5 linked regions of the Nothobranchius furzeri genome follow. The protein of the gene in region 5 interacts with the protein of the main gene of each other region in a pairwise test. Links are inferred from orthologs where the notes say so. Each region holds a gene or a part of one and is shown on either strand. Other genes may lie near its edges.

Region 1 (4,036 bases), on a different chromosome or scaffold from region 5:
CAGTTTCTGAAATACTCAGACCAGCCCGTCTGGCACCCACAACCATGACACGTTCAAAGTCAAATTAAATCGCCTTTCATCCCCATTCTGAAGCTCAGTTTGAACTGCAGCGGATCGTGTCAACATGCCGAAATGCATTGAGTTGCCACCATGTCATTGGCTGATTTAGTAATTTGCGTAATCGAGCACTTGGACAGGTGTATTCATTAAAGTGGCCCGTGAGCGCGTGTACATACCGGTCACATAAACATGGTGAGTTGGAGGACAGTCTGTAAAGCAAAAAAATCTGTATGAAAGTTTAATTATGAATTGTTTTTATTCTAAAGTCGTTGTCTTGTGTGTTTTTAGGTGGAACACCTTTTTATCCCGAAAGACTTCCAGAACTCATGAACTCACCCGACTACCGGAATCCTGATATGTTTTTTGACCCTCACCCCGCTGCGCCTCCCCCTCTTATGGAGCAACAGAGCAGGATGCAGAGGGACCCTCGCTACTCCAACAATCTGGACAAAATCACCTGCGCTCTCCTGGAGCTTGTGGCAAGAAAATAGTCACTCCCAAGATGGTTATAAAATAAAATTAGATTTTGTTTGTGTAAGTAGTTTCAGGTTGCATGTGAAGTTGAATGGTTTGGTTTATTTTAGGGAATTTGCCTTAGTAAAGTTCAGTTTTTGACCCGTCAAGATCTGTGATGTAATTGTCTTGTCTGTAGTAATCTGTTTATTTTAGTTTCTCATTTGTATCAGTGTAAGCATAACCATCAACATTTGTACACAGTTTCATTTTATGTGATATGAACGTGTTAATTTACAAAACTAAAATTCGTAATGTGAATGTGGCTCTTTTTATATACAGAACACACCAAGAACTAAAAGATGGAATTAGAATTTCAACACAACAAGAACACACCAAAGATGTTTAAAGAACACACCAAGGTTGACGTCTGTTTATGCACTTTTTAAATAGCACAAAAATTACCTTACGGTCAGAATCCAAGTTTGAATCCTCTGTTTTTTTCCAGGAATTTTCCAGACAAAATAGTATTTTATCAAGCCAACTTTTGCAAAACTTTATATTTTTTGTGAGGTAAAAATTATTTGCATGAGTGACAGGCTTAATATGTGTTTACATAAATACAATATATCCATTTGAATGTTATTTCGTAGGTTCAATATGTCTTATTTGTTCAGACGTAGGTTCTGTGAAAACGTAGCTCGCACTACGTCATCGCGTTAATCTTTCCGGTTCGAGTCAAGCAGCCATCTTGTTTCCCTAGCTTGTTAAACAAAATAAATAATACGCTGAGCCGGACTTCAGCTCGAACCCGAAAAAGAAAGTGAGTAAAAAACTTAAATTCTCTCATACCTATGTTCTTTACATAAAACAGGCCTGAGGGAGTGGCAGTCGGGGCAATTATTTGGCCTGTTTTCATTTGCTGTTCTTGACCAATAGACGATTGTTTTGGGAGATGAACATCGGCGCCATTTCCCTCCCCGCACTCAGGCGCTTATTGGTGGCCCGCCGAAGAGATCCCGGGCGGTTTGGAAACTGGAGGTCTGTGTCCGCCATTTTGGATCTCATTAAAACGGCTGTCAAACGCAGTGGCTATTTCCATTGGATCCCGAATGGCGTCGATTGCAGAACGAACTTAGCCTTAAAAACCTTGATTGGTGGAATCTAGTCCGAGGTTTGATTGGTCTGAAGGACAGATCCAAACGTTGTCTTTATTGGTTAGGGTGTTTCTTTCGAGCTTTGCAAACTTTACGATGGCAAGACTCGTCAGTGTGTGATTTAATTTCACTCCGCGGAATGTCAGCCGAGCAGTGCAACAGTCACCATTCTCCACCAAGCTAGCATAAAGTTCACTTTGTCACAGTCGGCACTCCCTATCCTAACGTTAAACTAGTAGTGGAAATCTTTTGTGTACGGCTGTTTTGTGTGTCTAAGCACGAAAATGTGTTCAATTAGTCTCTCCAACTCAAGAAAATACAAGCTAGTTGTGCCTGCTAGCCCAAGATTTAGCATCATTTTTTTCACTTTATCACGATGGCCGCTTTATTCAAATAAACCTCTGTAGAATTCCGTTTCGCAAACTGAGAATGGCCAGAAAATGCGTTATACCTGCTGCGATTTTTACCTAATATGTCTGTCGGCTGCGTTAAAAGCGCAGTGTGCCATTTAATCGTAAAAAGTGTAATTGGTTTAATGTCATGATCACAATTGGAAAACAAATAACCAGTTGAGCTGAGTTATGTAATCATCCTGCATGTACTGAACTGTTTTCTGAATATTTGTACGCTTACGAATCAACAAATACACAATATATAGACAATATCAATAACTAAACAACACCCAAAGCAGAAAGGACACAAACCGTTTTGTTTTTTGATTAATCTATTTAAAAAAATCCTATTTTAAGCTTTTACTTTTGTGCATTTTAGTTCCTAATTTGTTTTAATTTTGAATTATAGCTTAACTTTGTACATTTGAAATGAAGTTTGGTTGTTTAATAAAAGTCCATCTGTAATTCCTTATTCTTGGTGTATAAGTTTACTTCTAACTCAGGATTGCAGCTCTTCCCACCCCAGTCTATTATTTCTGTCTCTAAAACATTAATGTTTGTTTAATCCACTAATTGCTTATTTTTCTAATTGACAGAATGCTTAGATTTTGATCAAACATTAATGGAAGCACCTATTGTGCAAATCAGTGAGCTGGGGTTTGCAGGTGGTTATATGTTTACATGTTGAAGGCTTAGCTCGGCCACCCTGAGGGTGCTGTGTGTTTATGAAACCTAACGTCTGATTGGTGTGTGTTTATCTCCAAACAGCATCAGCGAGCACAAACATGGCCATGCTACGGGCGGTATAGGTCATGGGAAGGTTTCATTTGTATGCTGACCTTGCCAAGTGTCATTACTGAGGCTATTTGGGTAGCAAGCGTCCCCTTTAAGAGAAAAATAAATGTCCTGGCCAGTTAGCCGTGATGGAGAGATTAATCTTTGAGAAAACTATCCAATCATTAACCTGATGCTTGCAGCGCCTTTTCTTGTGCCGGTGCTCTGTGCTAAAATAGCAAAAGGAACATTTAGCTTTGTTTCTCTTGAGTTATCTATCTTGTTCCCTAACCCTCCCACCACTTGTTCTACCCCTCCCATCCCATAACAACTCTCCTCTCTGTCCTTCTCCATCCTTCCGGTCTCTCCCCCCCCCCCGGTATTTCATTGAAGGGGCAGGTTTCCTCTGTTTCCTCTTAAGCTTGTTCCATTCCACTCCACTGTAGAGTCACATTCATATGGAGCATTATCTTTAGACTATTATGTCACTTTTTAAACACGTTTCCTGCTTCATGTATGTGTCTCCTAATGAGTTCACATGTGAAACGGATCACAAACTGCTCAAGGTTGTGGTTTGTAAAACATCAGCTGGGCACATGAGCGGTGGCGGCTGGTCTTGGTGATCCGAAGTAAAGGTTTCTGCGATGAAAGGATGTGCCGTGAACAAAAAGGGCATCGAGTTTGTCATTGCTGGTGTGGTTTCCGTTGACGTTTTTATTGTGGAAGTTGCTGCTAGCTTCGTTTTGGGGTCAGGACACCAGCGTCTTTGTGTACAGATTTCCACCCATATCTCTTAAGTCTTGTTTAACCACAAATAGAACAAGAATCATATTCAGCCTTATCCCTCCCCCATCCCAACTAATGTTCCATCAGCTGATTTCTTCCGCAACTGATGGCCTGAAATGATCAGTTTTAGAGATTTATAAATATTTTTTGTTATGGTCCAAGTAAGCAACATAGTTTGCAGAAAATCATCTCCTGTGTCGTAAATTTGTTGAATGTCATTCTGCTATTTTACATCCTAAACAAATAAAAAAGTATTTTGTTTATGTGGACAAATTTTGTCTTTGCTGTATTATCAGTAATATGAATGTCATTACAACAAACGGGCTGCTCAGAGGCAACGTTGTCGCTCCACGCACCTGGAAACACCAGCAAGGATAAACGAGGAAGCAAGGACAAAATGTGCATTTGTGTGGA
Region 2 (3,516 bases), on a different chromosome or scaffold from region 5:
GAGATGCGAATTCAATCCGTTTGTAGCTTTGATCATTTTTCAGTAGCTGAAAAAGTTTCTATTGACTTTTTAATGTAAAAAAAATAGCTCTCCATTTTTTCAAAAATTAAAAGACTTATTTGGGCCAGAAATAAAAAATATGGCATGATCTGTGCTCAGAAGCAGCAACTTCTTGAGTTTGTGCTTCTCAATTGAAATAAAACAGGAAAGACCTGAAGTATTTACCTGACCATCCATGCACGAACGGAAAAAGGTGATGGAAAGTGAAGCTTTTACCTCTTTTGTGTGTTTCCTCTTTGATCTGCTTGTGAGGCGACTGACACAGATCTTCATCAGACGACCTGAACATCCTCTTCACCAAAACGCTCCTGACAACACACAAGCATGTGGCAGTTAGCCAGTTTGTCCGTGGTGTTGTGCTTCTGCTTGGATGAGGTAAATGTCTGTGTGTGTGTGTGTGGGGGGGGGGGGGGGGGGGGCTGATGCTCACCCTTCTCTCTCCATCTCCTCTGTGTTGAAGGTAAACACCTGAATGCAAATAATAAATACTGTCATTGTAAGTAAGACACGGAACAGCATGTTAAAGGTGGAAATTCAGCCGGGCCCCACCTGTCCGGCCCTCTGCAGGTTGCCGAAGTGAACGTCCGGGATGAAAAGAACCGGCTGGGCCTCCAAGTCCGACATGTTCTTGAAATAAGTGATGTCTGACTTCTTGGGGACAGTTATCACCCCGACACCTCCGTCTTTCCCTGGACACAAAAACCACGATATATAGGCTACAGGGGCGGGTCCAGAAAATTTGACTTGGGGGGGGCTAAGGAGGCAATCTTGGACCTCCACATCGAAGTGTGTAAAATATTGACTAAAACACTGTAAAACTGTTTGTTGTGCCATTAGCTGCATCTCCACAAGAAAGTTCCAGGACATTTCCAGTAGGGGAGATGGTAAGCAGTGTCCTGACCAATCACAGGATTGGGGTCTCCGTCGTGTTTTATGGATATTTAGAAAAATGGGCTTTACTCCGTTTGTCCTTCCATGCCTGTTGGCGAGACCTTACGACAACGGATGATGGCGTTGCGTGTCTCCGCACCAAAGTGGATGAGAAGTATAAACTAGCCTTAAGCCGTTAACATATGGCGAGCGTTCTGGCAGAGTGACTTTACTGATAGCTGATTAATAACAAACAAATGTGTGAAAGCACGCTGTATTTTACGCCGTTCACAGAACGCATTAAGAGAGTGGCCGTGTGACGTAAGAAACGGTATTGTATACCACAAGAAAATCCGTTATTTTACGGTGTTCTGTAGGACACCACGAAGCAGCTTACGTTATAGCGTTGCGGAGGGATTTCCGCCACATTTTTATGTGTTAGGAGTTTAGTAACAGCGATTTTACAGAAACGCTGACTTTTTTTATCTTCATTTGATTCAGCATCAACAGCAACTCTTCCAATTTTACAAATGCCGGCTGTTTGGCGTCGCCGGCCAATTTAATTTCCCTCTGAGACACCATGAGTTAACCACAAGTCCCACCCTAAGACATGACCCAGGCTTGTTTTGGTCCTCTCAGGCTGGCTCCATGAATTAGAGTATAGCATGAATTTTCGGTAAAATTACCCGGAAGTTCCGATAGTGGAAATGGAAATCCTATTATTATTATTATTATTATTATTATTATTATTATTATTATTATTATTATTATTATCTTCTGTTTGTAAGCAGGACTCAAACCTTTTGACTTCTTTCTCAATAGTTTTCTCTCCTCGTCTCTTATTTTCCTCTCTGCTCCCTGGGGGAAAAAAGAAGAAAAACATTTATTTTTTAAATAATAGAATCATTAATTTTCAAATGTATCCAGACCTGGAGCATGCTATGAGATATAAGACTAGGAATAAAACAGGTGTGCTGAGAGGAGAACCGTCCTCAGGCCACTAGAGGGAGCCCTACTTTCAGAAGCTCTTTCTTTTTTTTTAATAAAAACAGTATAAAAAAAAAAGGAATTTTTCCTCGCAGAAGCGACGTGCCACCTTGTCACAGAAGACCTTGATCTGTGAGTATGCCCTGTGGAGCGGCTTGTTGCTGCGGTTGTTGTAGCTGTATGTGTCGATCTGGATCATCAGAGGAAGACCCTTCACGCCCTTCTGGGAGGAGAAGTCTGTGCTCAGACAGTTGACCGTAATGAAGATCTGCCAGAGAAAAGAGAGGCAGAAACTGTTGACACAAAGCTTCTTCGTTCCATTTCTGATTAAAGTCTGCTCACATGTTTGCAAAGCTGGAAAGAAAAGTTGACTTTTTCATGATTTCAAGCAATGCAAACACAATTCCTTTCAACTCTGCTGCTTCTTTTGCTTCCTAAAAATACCTACAGATATTAATCTAAAGCAGAAAGATTAAAGGAAAGCTTCAGCATCTCCGAACCTTCAATAGGTCCTTTCAATTCTATCAGACTCAATTATTTTTATTAAGATTTTCTTCTCTGTTTAATTTCCTGAAGTAATAGCTGGATATTGTAATTTAAACGTAAAATTTATCATTAAAAATCTGAAATTCTTCTAATCATTCTAAACAATTTTAAATTGTGAACAAGATAAAAGGATAATTAACCCTTTGATGCATAATGGTCACTACAGTGGACAGGTACTCAAAATTGGTACTTTTTTTTTGCTATTAAGCACAGCTGTTGAAGACTTAATTGCATTTGAGCCCCTCCATTTGGACGTCAGTAAGTCAAGCCAACATATTTCATGTTCAGAATGCACGCTGTCCACTGAGGTCGACATGTAAAAAATTATTTGTAAATTAAATGTTACAAAAAATATGTAAATATGAAATTTTTTTCATTCACACCTAAAGATGAATGAAAAAAATGGTAAAAAAAATCATGGTTGAATATTTCAAATTCATGCATCAAAGGGTTAAACAAAGCTGAAATAAAAATTGATGACGTGTAAGAACCACTAGGTGTCAGCCTCGAGCAGCAACTCTGATTATTTCTCCTCTCAGACGAGCAAAAACTGTAAATCCCTTAAATACAGAAAATAGTTAATTTAACGGGAAAAACAGAACAAACAAGTGTGCTCTGGCTTTTAAAACAAAGAGGTCCCAACCAGGAAATCCAAACTGGTGCTTGAAATGGAGAACTGAAACTTGTTTTGTTACGGTTGTTTATAAACCAGCGTAACTTTAGTTGTAAGTAGGGGTTTGTGATTCAAGTTTCAATGACGTATAATATATATCTTTGCGATTATTAATTCCGTTTTTGAAAACTCAACAAAAATAAAATAAATGATAACTTGTGTTTCTGCCCAAGTTTTGTTCCGTTATTGTAGGAAAATTAAAATGTACTCATAATTCTGTTACCTTGAGTGAATAATGATGATTTTTAGAATTTAACAATAACACAAGTAAAGATCTGCCGAAGCAGAGACAGAAAACGGGGCTGTTGTTTCTACCCGGACCCCTTTAGATGTGACACTCTCTGAGCTTTTTGTTCATTTACTCATCTTCTAAACCTTTC
Region 3 (4,241 bases), on a different chromosome or scaffold from region 5:
GATATCCTCCAGACAATAAGAACTGTCCTGAAAAGATCAGAAAGCGTTCAAGAATTAGCTTGGATATTAATCATTTACTAAAAATGTGGTTTCCTCTAACTGTAAAAGACTACCTTCACAGGGTCCCAGGAGGAGAGTTTCTCTTTAAGCAATGGATGAATGACAGCCACAGCCAAATCTGCCAATCCCATCATCTTGTATTCCTCATAATAATCGGTTTGTAATGTCTCAAAGATCTGGGCACACTCCTGAAGAGACAAGCACTACAAATCAGCTTCACAATTATGAAATATAAAGCTGGAACTCCTTAATTTGAACAGCTTGCAGACCGGCTCCAGTCAGTGTTTGTAACACAAACCTGTAGGGTCGGGCCCTCTCCCGGTGCCGTCTCTTCAGAAGGAAAACGCTCCACTAATGCTAAGACAGCTTCCATTCTTCGGATGGATTCTTGCTCTGACTCCAGTCTGCTCTGCAAAGCTTTTGACTCATGGCTCAGAGAAACAACCACGTCTTTTTCATGCTGCAAACGTCTGGCAGACTACAAAAGATGCACAAAAAAAAGAAAGAACGCTTTAGTAGAGATTACAAGTTCTTCACATTTTTCTCAGGTTGCTGACTTATTAATATCCTATTCTTGTAGCTAAATATGTTGTAAATAATTCTTGGTTTCCTCTTACCTGTAATATGTTTTGTTCTGTCAGGTCTATCAGAAGCTGCAGATTATGCTCAAGTTCGGGGAGAGCAAAGCCAGATACCTTTTGATCCTGTGAAGCCAAGCTTGGTGGAGCTTCATCGGGAACACTGTGTTTGTGAGACATCTGACTATAACTGTAGTATACCTTCTGCTCTCTTCCAGTCATATCTATTACCTAGACCAAGGGAAATGTCAGGATAAATAAGTACTATGAATGTAGCCAAAATGTACTTAAATTACTGATGCTTAATAAAACACTGAATCCTCAATTTTGCACCTATGCAGCCATGCCAACATAAAAAACAAACAGCACACAAGTGAAACATAAACATACCTTGACCTGTGCCAGCTCTCCTGCAGTTGCAGATGTGCTCCGACTCACTATTTTACCTTTAGCCTTCAACTCATCTGCTGTTCTGTAAGAGTACTTGGGCTTCTTTTTTCCTGCAGGCCCAGCTGGATCCTTACGCCACTGGCCAAGTTCCTTCTGAAATTCCTATATAAAGATATAGAAAATTACCACAATGACTCTATAGACTCATTTGATCAATAAAATCAAACACAAAAATAAAAACAACATTGTAAAGACAATTTTTTTTCTCAGTACTTTACCTTCTCCTCTTCTTCCTCTGAGTCAACTACAGGAAAGTCCTGAAGACTCTGCTGGGTTCTTTCATTGCCATAAGCACCAACCGCTCCTTTTCCCTTACGGATCTTTGCCTCAATGGGGTTTATGATACCTACAGAGAGAAAGTACATTACAAGTGTTTCAATTCCACCACATCCATGTAAAAAACAAAACATTTTACAACATTTTTAAAAGAACAATCTAAGTCAACTAAACACACCTTGAGCATTCTTCCCCAAGCCTTTCCCTGGCTGGTAACCCATCTTCTGCAGAAGTTTCTGTCCAATTCCTTTGGTGTGTTTCTCCCAGTTACCAATTCCTTGTCCAGACTGTATTCCACCTGCAAACCTCTTAGACTGATTTCCACAGAAATTACCCTAGAAAAACATTTTTTCCCAACATCATTATTTTCACTATTTTCTTCTACAAACAATGGACATCACAATGTGCGCACATTTAAAAATTACCATCTGGAGTTTTTTGGGTGCAGTCACGCGTGAAGGGGGGAGTTTTGCAGAAGTATCATCATCAGAGTCGTCAGAGCTGCCTTCTTTTTCCCGCTCTTTCTCTTCAGCAGCACTCTTACGCAAACCACCACTCACAAAGCTCACAGGTACAGTGTAGTCTTTGGATCTAAAAAGAAATCATAAATATTTTATTAGAACATTTGGTTAGAAATTGTTTCAGAATTGGAATTTGTGTCAAAAGCAAGCCATTTATACTTCTTGCCACCAAAGCTGGGCCTTTCATCTTCATCAGAATCCTTCTCGGCCCAGATGCCATATGTGGCCTGCTCCTTGCTCTGCCTGAATTTGCGACGGTCTGGGTTGAACTCATTGGCTAAATCCCAGTCAGTAATCTCAAAACTCTCCACCTCCACACCTTCCTCTTCCTCCTCCCTCCGCCCGTAAAGGTGGGACATTGACATCTCTGCAAGTTATAAACAATATAGATCTTAATGAAATGTGACCGAATCCTAAAATTACACGTGCATTTATTTTCCAGGAAAGAAACATTGTGACTTCAAAATCAGGAAAAAGATGCATATCTAGTTTATTAAAGGCAAAGAAGAGGGAAATAAAATGCGATAACTAAGTCAGGTATGAAGTCAACGTTTGTGGTTTAACTAACGATAAATTAATAATGACAAAAAGGTTTACAATCAATAACGATGAATACACAAATAAGACTAAACGTGAAACATCGATTATAAAACTATACAAATCTGCTTAGAAGAAAACGGAGCGAAGGCTAATTACTAGCAATAACGCACGTTCTGTAGCATTAATGTAAATACACACAACATGTTAGTAGTGATAAAAAACGACGATTTCGTTTAAGTTAACTTACTAAAATATTAATTACAACCTTGGTCTGAGATCAAAAACACATATCTTATGTGGTAATAAGACGAACTGCAGAGACACGAACTGTTGACGAATGATATATTTTTGTCAAAAGCAAGTTCTTCCGGTTTAGCCGTGTCACTTCAATTAATGTACACTACAAATAATTTCATTAATATTTTAAAAGCAGCTTAATTAAAACCAACCATTCAACACATACATTTTTATAAAGCGGTCAATATTTTTTTTAAAAATAAAAACAATCGAACAACAGCAAATCTGTTGAATTTACGTGACTTTTAACTAGACGGAAATCACACCGGAAACAGAACAATGTGTTGCACTTGAATAGGTCATCTGCGTTTCCATTTTTAGCTTTCAGCTCTCAAAATGCTAAATTTGGTTTTGAGTTCCATGTTTTTATGATACTTACGTTTGGAAATGTATGTACTTATGTAAATTACATCTGGCAATTCACACAAATGTCGTACATATCCGATGAATGGCAGGTAGCTCGGCGTCGAAAAGGTGTATGTAGGCAATTTAAATCTCATCAAGTTCCTCTAAACTCACCATCATGCCATCAGGAGCAACTGGATGTTGGAAAACTCATCAGAAGAATCAGAGACAACATGTAAGAAGTTACGCACACACACATGTATGTATGTATGTATGTATGTATATATATATATATATATATATATATATATATATATATATATATATACATATATATATATATATATATATATATATATATATATATATATATATATATATGAGTAACAATATTTATCTTGCATAATAGGTGAAATCATACATCTTCCCATAAGTTATTGGTTTGCTTATATCTTTCCTTCTTAGGTTTGAACTAAAGTACGAAGATTTTTGGAAAGACTGGAATGGTGAGTTTGTTGTAGATATGTAGGTTGAGTTAAGCTTAGTTATTTAGTGGATCATCTTCTCTTCAGAGAATTTCCAGGCAGCAGCAGCATCCCTAAAACCTCCAGGGGACAGTGACACTGAAAATCAGCTGGAAAAAGCCCCAGAAGAAACACTGATGTGTGTTTGTTATGGTCTTGGGTCTTTTTCTTCATGTGTAGCCGCTCGCTACCAACTTGCCATGTTGCTGCTTCTTCTGGATGCGAGACAGGTGAGAAGATCGACTCCATCTGTGTTATAAATGATACTTGTGAAACTCTGATGCAAAATATGTGCTTTATTGCCCCTGTCCATGTAGATTTTACTGCGGGACTGCTATGTTTATGATCCTGCCTTCTCCTTTGCTGAAAAGAATGTCTTAAGAGAGCTGGGTTTGACTGTACTCACAGAAAATGAGGTCAGTTGACAAGAGCTTGAGTATTTTTGAAATAAATAACAGTAAAACACTGTTTTCAGGTATACACTATGAAGTAGATTATACAGATATAATGTTACCATAAATACCATTGTTACAAATAAACAACTGTTACAACTCCAGCCATTTCATTTTGCTATCTGTTTGATTTCACTGGTTATTCACTAGCTTAGATGTTGATAAATCAGTGCAGAGAGAATAAATCTGCTTTTTTTC
Region 4 (3,516 bases), on a different chromosome or scaffold from region 5:
GCTGTCGGGTATACGCTCTGCATAATTAGCTGGAAACCAACCGGTCCTGCCTCTGAGCTCACCCCCGAGCCACCCAGGCTCACCCGTTTGTGACTCATCCACCTATCAGAGCAAAGGGTGTGATTTAATTAGGCCAGAAACACTAGATGTGCTTCATCAAGCTTTAGGCCAGGTAGCAGGGCTGAACTAGCCAGTGCCAGTGGGTGATAGTTTTACTGCAGCACAGTAAACATTCATCCTGATCAAGTTAAAACTAGAACGTTATCTGGACAATCCCAATAATGAGCTCAACACAAGAGACTAGGGGTGTGTATTTGCAAGAATCTGGTGAAACAACATACATCACAATAGTGGAGATGATATGATGTACTGTGATACTAAAACCCACATAATTGTAATTTTAGGACCGAATTTAATTGGAAAACTCAAGCAAGACACGTCCACGCCACACCTAGTGTTCCAGCAACAGCGCATTGTTCCATCAGAATGAAGGCAGTGAACTGCTGCCACCTAGCAGTCAGAGTCTGAATTGCACTACACAAAAGAAATAAAGGAAATGTTTGCAAATAAATTCTCAATCAAAAAGAAAAATCAATACAACCCTTTCAAAAATCTATCATGAAATATTGTATATTTCAGTGTACCGATATTTTCTCACAATGCTATTAGAAACATGAGTTGTGAAATAAACAAACAGCTTTCAGAGTTTAACTCCAGGAGGCAGGTTCACTAAATCCACAAGCATGGAGAGAAAGGTCCTTCACATCTATTTATCTCTCTCAAAATGTCAGAAATTAAATCAGCAGACGTGCGCCCACAACTGACTCACTTCTGGAGTCAGCTCAATTCAAGATGGCCAAGACCCTTCATCTGAATCCATTTTAAAGACACTGGGCTAAAATTTAGTCTGTTGCTACATGAGTGCCTTTCACCTCACATCCAAAGGGTCATCTGGTTTTGCAATAATCTCATGAGATTTTTCATTTCTCAACAAAAGATGTCATTCTTAAATTTTTCCATTGAAGACAACAAACAATACCAGCTTTACATTTATTTTCCTGTTTAATTATAACTTATTCTACTAAATTTATTAATTTAATCATTGTTACCAAGAAGGTGTTTAATATAAAAGACACTCATTATATGTAGGTAAATATGTGCTGGTCAAACTGAAGGATTTTTATTTCAAATGTACCACAGGGGGATTCAATTCCAGGCCTCGAGGGCCGCTAACCAGCATGTTTTAGTGGTTTCACTGCTCTAACACACTAGATTCAGTGATTGAATCACCTGTGCAGCAGCTCATCCGGCTCTGCAGAAGCCTGTTAATCACCTACTGATTGAAATCAGGTGTGTTGAAGCAGGGTTTAAGCTAAAACGTGCTGGACACCGGTCCTCCAGGCCCAGAATAAAACACCCCTGCTGTAGCGGGTTATGGGATAAGTGGAGCAACACACTGACATCCAGTCAGCAGTGTTTAGCATCAGTGTGGAGGCTGAGAATCTACACAACTTTTATTTCCCCATATTTTAGTTTTGTGTCACAATTCACGGCTTCAGGAAGAGTGAGAGCTGCAAAGCAGCTAAACTCTTTGGTGTTGCTTTAATGGTAAAGATGGGGGGTTCATTCATAAAGATAGCTGAAACAAAATGATTAGGTCAACATAAACACGTGACAGCATTCCCACTTTAGTAAGGGACATTCATCCGCTAGAGGACAGATGAACATGAGCAGGGCATGAGATGAATGCACTGGCTTGTGATTGGTGGAAACACAAAACGGCACTGGGCGGGGGGCAAGAACTTACCCACTCCCCCTTCACCTTCAGTTTGCAGAGCGGAGGAGAGAAATAAAACATTAAAGCAGACGGTCATTCACACACAAACACACTTCAGGAGGCTTTAACACAAATGCAGAGATAAATCCAACATGAACAGGACACGTGTGACATGAGTGCAGGTTACACACCATGATGACATCTCCAGGCTGGATACTGATCTCATCGTGGCTGCGAGCATCAAATGGATACAGAGCCCTGTAGTAGACCACCTTCACTGGCTGCTGCTGCTGCTGGTCGAAGCCGCTGCTCGATGCTTTCTGCTCAAACACACTGGAGCCTGGAGCTTTCTCCGCTGCAATTAGACAAAAACAAAAAGACGCATTTATCTTAAGTTCTGTGGCTGAGAATTATTTATTTATCTCGTTTCCTTATCTATCTACAGTGGTGTGAAAAACTATTTGTCCCCTTCCTGTTTTCTTATTCTTTTGCATGTTTGTCACAAAAAATGTTTGTGATCATCAAACACATTTAACCGTTAGTCAAAGATAACACAAGTAAACACAAAATGCAGTTTTGAAATGATGGTTTTTATTATTTAGGGAGAGAACAAAATCCAAACCTACATTGCCCTGTGTGAAAAAGTAATTGCCCCCCTTTTTAAAAAATAACCCAACTGTGGTGTTTCATACCTGAGTTCAATTTCTGTAGCCACCCCCAAGCCTGATTACTGCCACACCTGTTTCAATCAAGAAATCACTTAAATATGAGCTGCCTGACACAGAGAAGTAGACCAAAAGCACCTCAAAAGCTAGACATCATGCCAAGATCCAAAGAAATTCAAGAACAAATGAGAACAACTCTGTTAAGCAAAAAGAACATTAGGGCTCGTCTCAATTTTGCTAAGAAACATCTCAATGATTGCCAAGACTTTTGGGAAAATACCTTGTGGACTGATGAGACAAAAGTTGAACTGTTTGGAAGGCAAATGTCCCGTTACATCTGGCACAGAAGTAACACAGCATTTCAGACAAAGAGCATCATACCAGCAGTAAAATGTGGTGGTGGTAGTGTGATGGTCTGGGGTTGTTTTGCTGCTTCAGGAACTGGAAGGCTTGCTGTGATAAATGGAACCATGAATTCTACTGTCTACCAAAACATCCTGAAGGAGAATGTCCGGCCATCTGTTCGTCAACTAAAGCTGAAGCGATGTTGGGTGCTGCAGCAGGACAAGGACCCAAAACACACCAGCAAATCCACCTCTGAATGGCTGAAGAACAACAAAATGAAGACTTTGGAGTGGCCTAGTCAAAGTCTTGACTTGAATCCTATTGAGATGCTATGGCATGACCTTAAAAAGGCGGTTCATGCTAGAAAACCCTCAAATAAAGCTGAATTACAACAATTCTGCAAAGATGAGTGGGTCAAAATTCCTCCAGAGCGCTGTAAAAGACTCGTAGCAAGTTATCACAAACACTTGATTGCAGTTATTGCTGCTAAGGGAGGCCCAACCAGTTATTATGTTCAGGGGGCAATTACTTTTTCACACAGGGCAAAGTAGGTTTGAATTTTGTTCTCTCCCTAAATAATAAAAAAAACATAAATCATTTCAAACCTGCATTTTGTGTTTACTTGTGTTATCTTTGACTAATGGTTAAATGTATTTGATGATCAGACACATTTTATGTGACAAACATGCAAAAGAATAAGAAATCAGGAAGGGGACAAATAGTTTTTCA
Region 5 (4,284 bases):
GACCCCTGCACTTTTTACCATCCAAAAACAATATTACGCTATATTAAATTGACACTGGTTGAGCTCTAGGACCAAGCGGAAAGCAACCGTTTGTGTTGAAGCCGGTTTCCCATTAGAACATATTGTAAAGATACCCCCCCCCCCCCCCCCACTTCTAAAGTGAAAATTACGTCCATGATTCAGTACGACTCACAGATCTGAAAATCAAAAAAAACAGATGGTTTCCATCACCGCCAAGAAAAATCCGACATTTTCCCTGAGCAGCGTTTACTTTCAGAGTCATGATTTCTCACGTTAATCAGATTATTATTTTTACTGGTATATTGTTGCTGTAGTCATCTGAGAACGGCTGTAAACGTATCTAAACTCAACATCAGCCTTTAAAACTAGAATCGATGCAGTAAACGGAAGCATCTTCTCTAAAACAGTGTTTTGTTGTTCGGCACACTCCGAAACTTTATGACTCCGATTGCCTCTTCAAGCTTCTTTAAAGTGAAGAAAGATCAAAACGTCATCGCTAAAAGTGCTGAGCAAATTCTAAACCTCGTCTTTCATTCTTGTGTAATCGGTAATCTGCTGAAAAACTTTCTGCTTTGACAACATCTCACCATGCATGACGCTTTGTGGCACCTGGAGTAAAGGTCAAGCAGCATGGTTTTCCTCCAGCCAATGCAGAAATACAATAGTTGTTTTTTAAATAGAAATAACTTTTTTTCATCCTTCTTTCACCATCTGACAAAAAAGAACATAGCTGCGTAGCTTAAACTTTGATTCAACAACATCTAGGAGAACTTGGGAGACTTCCAAAACCATCTACGGTTTCCTGTTCGTTAGTAGGCTACTTATGCACACGAGTGTTGATTAATTAGCCCAAATCTAACCTAGAGATCTGAAGCAGAATGCCACTAATCACGTTAGCGTTGGAGCAGCTGATAGGACGACACCAGATCATGAAGGATTTGATCATATTAATGCTTTACGAACACTCAGAGATCGTAATGCTGTGGATAGGGCGCAGCAAAATCCCACAAAATTCTGTTCAGAATGTTCTTTGACATAAATTTTACATTCAGATATTTTTCTTTCAGGGCTGTTTTTATATTGTAAAATAGTCGGGATGTTTTGGTTACATAAAAATATAATAACTAAATGAAAAATGAATCAAAACATAACATTACGCCCGTGCTACTTCTACATAAACACATGGCTTTCAGCGATCCTCTCACCTGATGTAGTCATTTCTGCACAGGATCATGCCACTTTTTGTGTAGCACGAAGTACCAATGTCGCCCAGCTGGGCCTGGCAGCAGGAACACTTGAGGCATCGGCTGTGCCAGTAGCTGTCCATGGTGTAGAGGAGGAAGCGATCTGCAATTTTGCCCCCGCAACCCGCACACCGTTTCCAAGACAGGGAGCCTGTGCCCACCGCTGGTGGCTGGCTGTTGCCTCCAGGATTCACCATTGTCTCTAAAAACACAGAAAAGACACGGTCAAGCCTGACTCACCCACATGGCCGGTGCTCGTGCATTTACTAGTGGAGGATTGTTTTGATTTCAGACAAAAACTATCAACATGTATTCACAGCTACGGATTTTGAATTATACCAACTAATACCTAGTTTTGTGACTAATTATTGAGTGAAACTGGTCTAGATGTCCGTTACTGTCCTGTTCTGTTGCATTAATGGGCTTCCCAGTGTCTGTTCAACTGATAACACCCATAATTAAGACTTCAGCATATATTTATCGTCTCAATCCCAGCATGAATGGCTGTAGTGAGATAGGAATTGCAGTTTGGTTCTCAACACTTGACAACTTCCAAGGCATAAAACATGTCAGACTACAAACTGATGCCCACAGACCTCCTGTAATGACGTCAATCTACTAATCTTATGCATTCTGTTTCAGCCACTAAATTAATTTCAAGTCATTCAGATGTAATCCCCACCAATTTGGTCAGACGGACTTGCAGGGATGAAGCCAAATCTTTGTTGAAAGCCAGGTAGGCCAATTAGAGTTGGGAAGAGGGATGGGGGGGGGGGGGGGGGCATTCAGTAAGCCCATTAGCGATGGCTCTTAGGGACAAACCACAGCGTACTTTAGTGCTGATTAAATCTAAAAGGAGATGAATCAAAAAAGCCGACGTGAAAGTGACTCTCTGGATAAACAGAGCGGGCTATCGTCAAGTTTCTCTAGGGGTGAGGAGGGGGGGAGTTTCTGTTTTATTCGCTGGGGAAGGATGAGAGGGGGAGGAGGAATGAGAGGGGGGGTGGCTTTTAAACTAAATGGGCCAACTCAAGTAATTACACGAACAGGCAATTTGGGCAAGTCATGGAAAAAGAAGGGAGAGAGACAGCGAGAGAAAGAGGGAGAGATGAGTGAGCGGGGCAAAGAAAAGAAAAACACCCATTCGTGCACTGAAAGCAGGGGAAAACACTTTCTTGGCGTTATTATTTTTGGGATAAATGCGTGGAAATGTGCTAATGAAGTGAATACTGGATGTGAACGCACGCGCTGCGAAAGAACGCAACATAAACCGATTAGTTTCCTGTTTAATTAGGCTGTAACGCCAACAAACACTCACCTCGTTCCCCTGGTCGACGATGCCACCGAAGTTTGACGATGAACAGGTAGGGAGGGTTCAACAGAGCCAGAAAAGTAAAACGGCTTCAAAGCGGACGCACCAACCAGCGCGCGCGCGCTCCAGACTCCAGCTCTGCGCGAGAGCACCTCGAGGACCCGGCGAGGCGAGCAAATGGAGTTATCAGATAGTATTTCCACGGGTAGGCTTCCCTTTTACTGGCACCACTTTAAAGACGACGGGATTCATGGCGAGGTGACACGCATGCCGTAATGTTCCCCCAAAGACGTGAAGAGCACGTGCGTGTTTTGGCTGAAACAAAAAGATAAAGCGTTCAGGAGACGTCGAGGCTGAAGAGGTCTCTTTCTGCTCTGGTCTGAATCTCTGCGTGCGTCCGCGTCCCGTTGGCAGCTGGTTCTACATGTGTCGCTGACAGAAAGAAACCTCCAGTAAAAACTCTCTCCTGCTGCGTGACGACAGAGCCCTGGCAGCCAATCAGAATGCAGTCAATTTGGGAGAATAACAGTTCCAGCCAATCGGAGGGAAGGGAGATAGACTTGGACACGCAGACAACGGAGGTGAGAGGGACAAGAGGAAAAACGGGGATAAAAGCAGCTCATTGACACTTAAATCCGAGATATCCAGAACCACGTTTCTGGGATTAGAGGCGATGGTGTATTTAATAACTGCATTATAAATATGAGTTTACGTAAACCTAAATGGTAAATGGGGAAACGCGAGTGCTGAGGTAACCTATGGACTAGATGCAAAGTTATACACAAGTCGTCATGGTGTTCGATCGTTTCCAAACGTGCTCCATGCTGCATGGCAACATCCAGCAGGCTGCATTCACCTCACGTCAGAGTTTAATTAGTTGGCATTCAATAACTACTTAGTTGAGGGTGACTCCAACCTCTACAGCTGCGTAGTGGCGCCATCATCTGTCACTGAAGATAATAGCAGCTCCTTTTACAACGTTAAGGTCATTGGTTTCAGCTCCTACTGAGTCTCTTTTGGCTGAAGTGCTGTAATTATTGCAATATTTGCTCATCTCGCCCTCTCTGGCATAATACAGTGCTGTGGAAAAATGTTGCTTATGTTTTTCATATAAAAGATAACCCCAGTAAACGCCAGTTTTCAAATGATATTTTCAAAGATTAAGGGGTGATGAGCTAACTGACCTGACCCTGATTGAACCCGTCTCCTTCAGGCTGGTTGCAGCACTCTTGAGGCAATGATTACTGCAGCTCTCTCTATGCAGGGTTGTGTCAGTCATCACTGTGTCGCCTTCAGGTTGTGCAGAACAGCGCAGCCAGGTTCCTGACTGGGACCAGGAAACGGGACCACATCATTCCGGTTCTGGCCTCCCTGCACTGGCTTCCGGTTTGCTATCGTTCACACTTCAGACTCCTCGTCTTTGTTTTTAATTTCTTCCAGGGTGGTGCTCCCCCCTATCTGGCCACGCTCCTGAACAGACATTCCCCATCACGCGCTCTGCGCTCCTCTGACCAAGGCCTGCTCGCTGTCCCTCGTTCTAGGTGTCGTACTCGCGGGGACCGGGCTTTCTCAGTCCTAGCACCGTCACTATGGAACCAGTTGCCACCCTCAGTTAGGCTGTCCCCATCTCTGCCAGTCTTCAAGAGTCGCCTAAAAACCCACCTCCTCCACTTGGCGTTTCCTGAACATGTTTGAATCTGGCCCTCT

Evidence for each region.
Region 1: the proteins of lmo4b (region 5) and nfyc interact in binary tests that used the Homo sapiens proteins (3 or more experiments, as listed by UniProt). The link is inferred for Nothobranchius furzeri from reciprocal best matches to the Homo sapiens genes LMO4 and NFYC.
Region 2: the proteins of lmo4b (region 5) and grhl2b interact in binary tests that used the Homo sapiens proteins (3 or more experiments, as listed by UniProt). The two-hybrid records come from large-scale screens. The link is inferred for Nothobranchius furzeri from reciprocal best matches to the Homo sapiens genes LMO4 and GRHL2.
Region 3: the proteins of lmo4b (region 5) and tfip11 interact in binary tests that used the Homo sapiens proteins (3 or more experiments, as listed by UniProt). The two-hybrid records come from large-scale screens. The link is inferred for Nothobranchius furzeri from reciprocal best matches to the Homo sapiens genes LMO4 and TFIP11.
Region 4: the proteins of lmo4b (region 5) and itsn1 interact in binary tests that used the Homo sapiens proteins (3 or more experiments, as listed by UniProt). The link is inferred for Nothobranchius furzeri from reciprocal best matches to the Homo sapiens genes LMO4 and ITSN1.

What each region holds. Positions count from the first base shown.
Region 1 is NC_091759.1:20,572,166-20,576,201, reverse strand, and holds the start of nfyc (nuclear transcription factor Y subunit gamma), read left to right. Parts: upstream 1-1,226; 5' UTR 1,227-1,336; intron 1,337-1,479; exon of another isoform or gene 1,480-1,554; intron 1,555-4,036. Other genes in the region: uncharacterized protein si:ch211-13c6.2, read left to right, coding at 349-551. UniProt on the Homo sapiens protein: Component of the sequence-specific heterotrimeric transcription factor (NF-Y) which specifically recognizes a 5'-CCAAT-3' box motif found in the promoters of its target genes.
Region 2 is NC_091759.1:1,557,428-1,560,943, forward strand, and holds part of grhl2b (grainyhead-like transcription factor 2b), read right to left. Parts: intron 2,186-3,516; coding exon 2,027-2,185; intron 1,789-2,026; coding exon 1,731-1,788; intron 750-1,730; coding exon 610-749; intron 529-609; coding exon 491-528; intron 369-490; coding exon 277-368; intron 1-276. UniProt on the Homo sapiens protein: Transcription factor playing an important role in primary neurulation and in epithelial development. Binds directly to the consensus DNA sequence 5'-AACCGGTT-3' acting as an activator and repressor on distinct target genes.
Region 3 is NC_091757.1:45,000,280-45,004,520, forward strand, and holds the start of tfip11 (tuftelin-interacting protein 11), read right to left. Parts: upstream 2,801-4,241; 5' UTR 2,691-2,800; exon of another isoform or gene 2,673-2,690; intron 2,253-2,672; 5' UTR 2,251-2,252; coding exon 2,045-2,250; intron 1,956-2,044; coding exon 1,790-1,955; intron 1,700-1,789; coding exon 1,543-1,699; intron 1,435-1,542; coding exon 1,307-1,434; intron 1,191-1,306; coding exon 1,029-1,190; intron 870-1,028; coding exon 678-869; intron 539-677; coding exon 359-538; intron 249-358; coding exon 114-248; intron 28-113; coding exon 1-27. Other genes in the region: srrd (SRR1-like protein), read left to right, coding at 3,091-3,302, 3,533-3,573, 3,640-3,821, 3,909-4,007. UniProt on the Homo sapiens protein: Involved in pre-mRNA splicing, specifically in spliceosome disassembly during late-stage splicing events. Intron turnover seems to proceed through reactions in two lariat-intron associated complexes termed Intron Large (IL) and Intron Small (IS).
Region 4 is NC_091752.1:40,936,357-40,939,872, forward strand, and holds part of itsn1 (intersectin-1), read right to left. Parts: intron 2,133-3,516; coding exon 1,969-2,132; intron 1,823-1,968; coding exon 1,808-1,822; intron 103-1,807; coding exon 1-102. UniProt on the Homo sapiens protein: Adapter protein that provides a link between the endocytic membrane traffic and the actin assembly machinery. Acts as a guanine nucleotide exchange factor (GEF) for CDC42, and thereby stimulates actin nucleation mediated by WASL and the ARP2/3 complex.
Region 5 is NC_091756.1:59,560,007-59,564,290, forward strand, and holds the start of lmo4b (LIM domain transcription factor LMO4b), read right to left. Parts: upstream 2,813-4,284; 5' UTR 2,584-2,812; intron 1,468-2,583; 5' UTR 1,463-1,467; coding exon 1,227-1,462; intron 1-1,226. UniProt on the Homo sapiens protein: Transcription cofactor. Plays a role in establishing motor neuron identity, in concert with MNX1, acting, at least in part, to disrupt LDB1-LHX3 complexes thereby negatively modulating interneuron genes in motor neurons.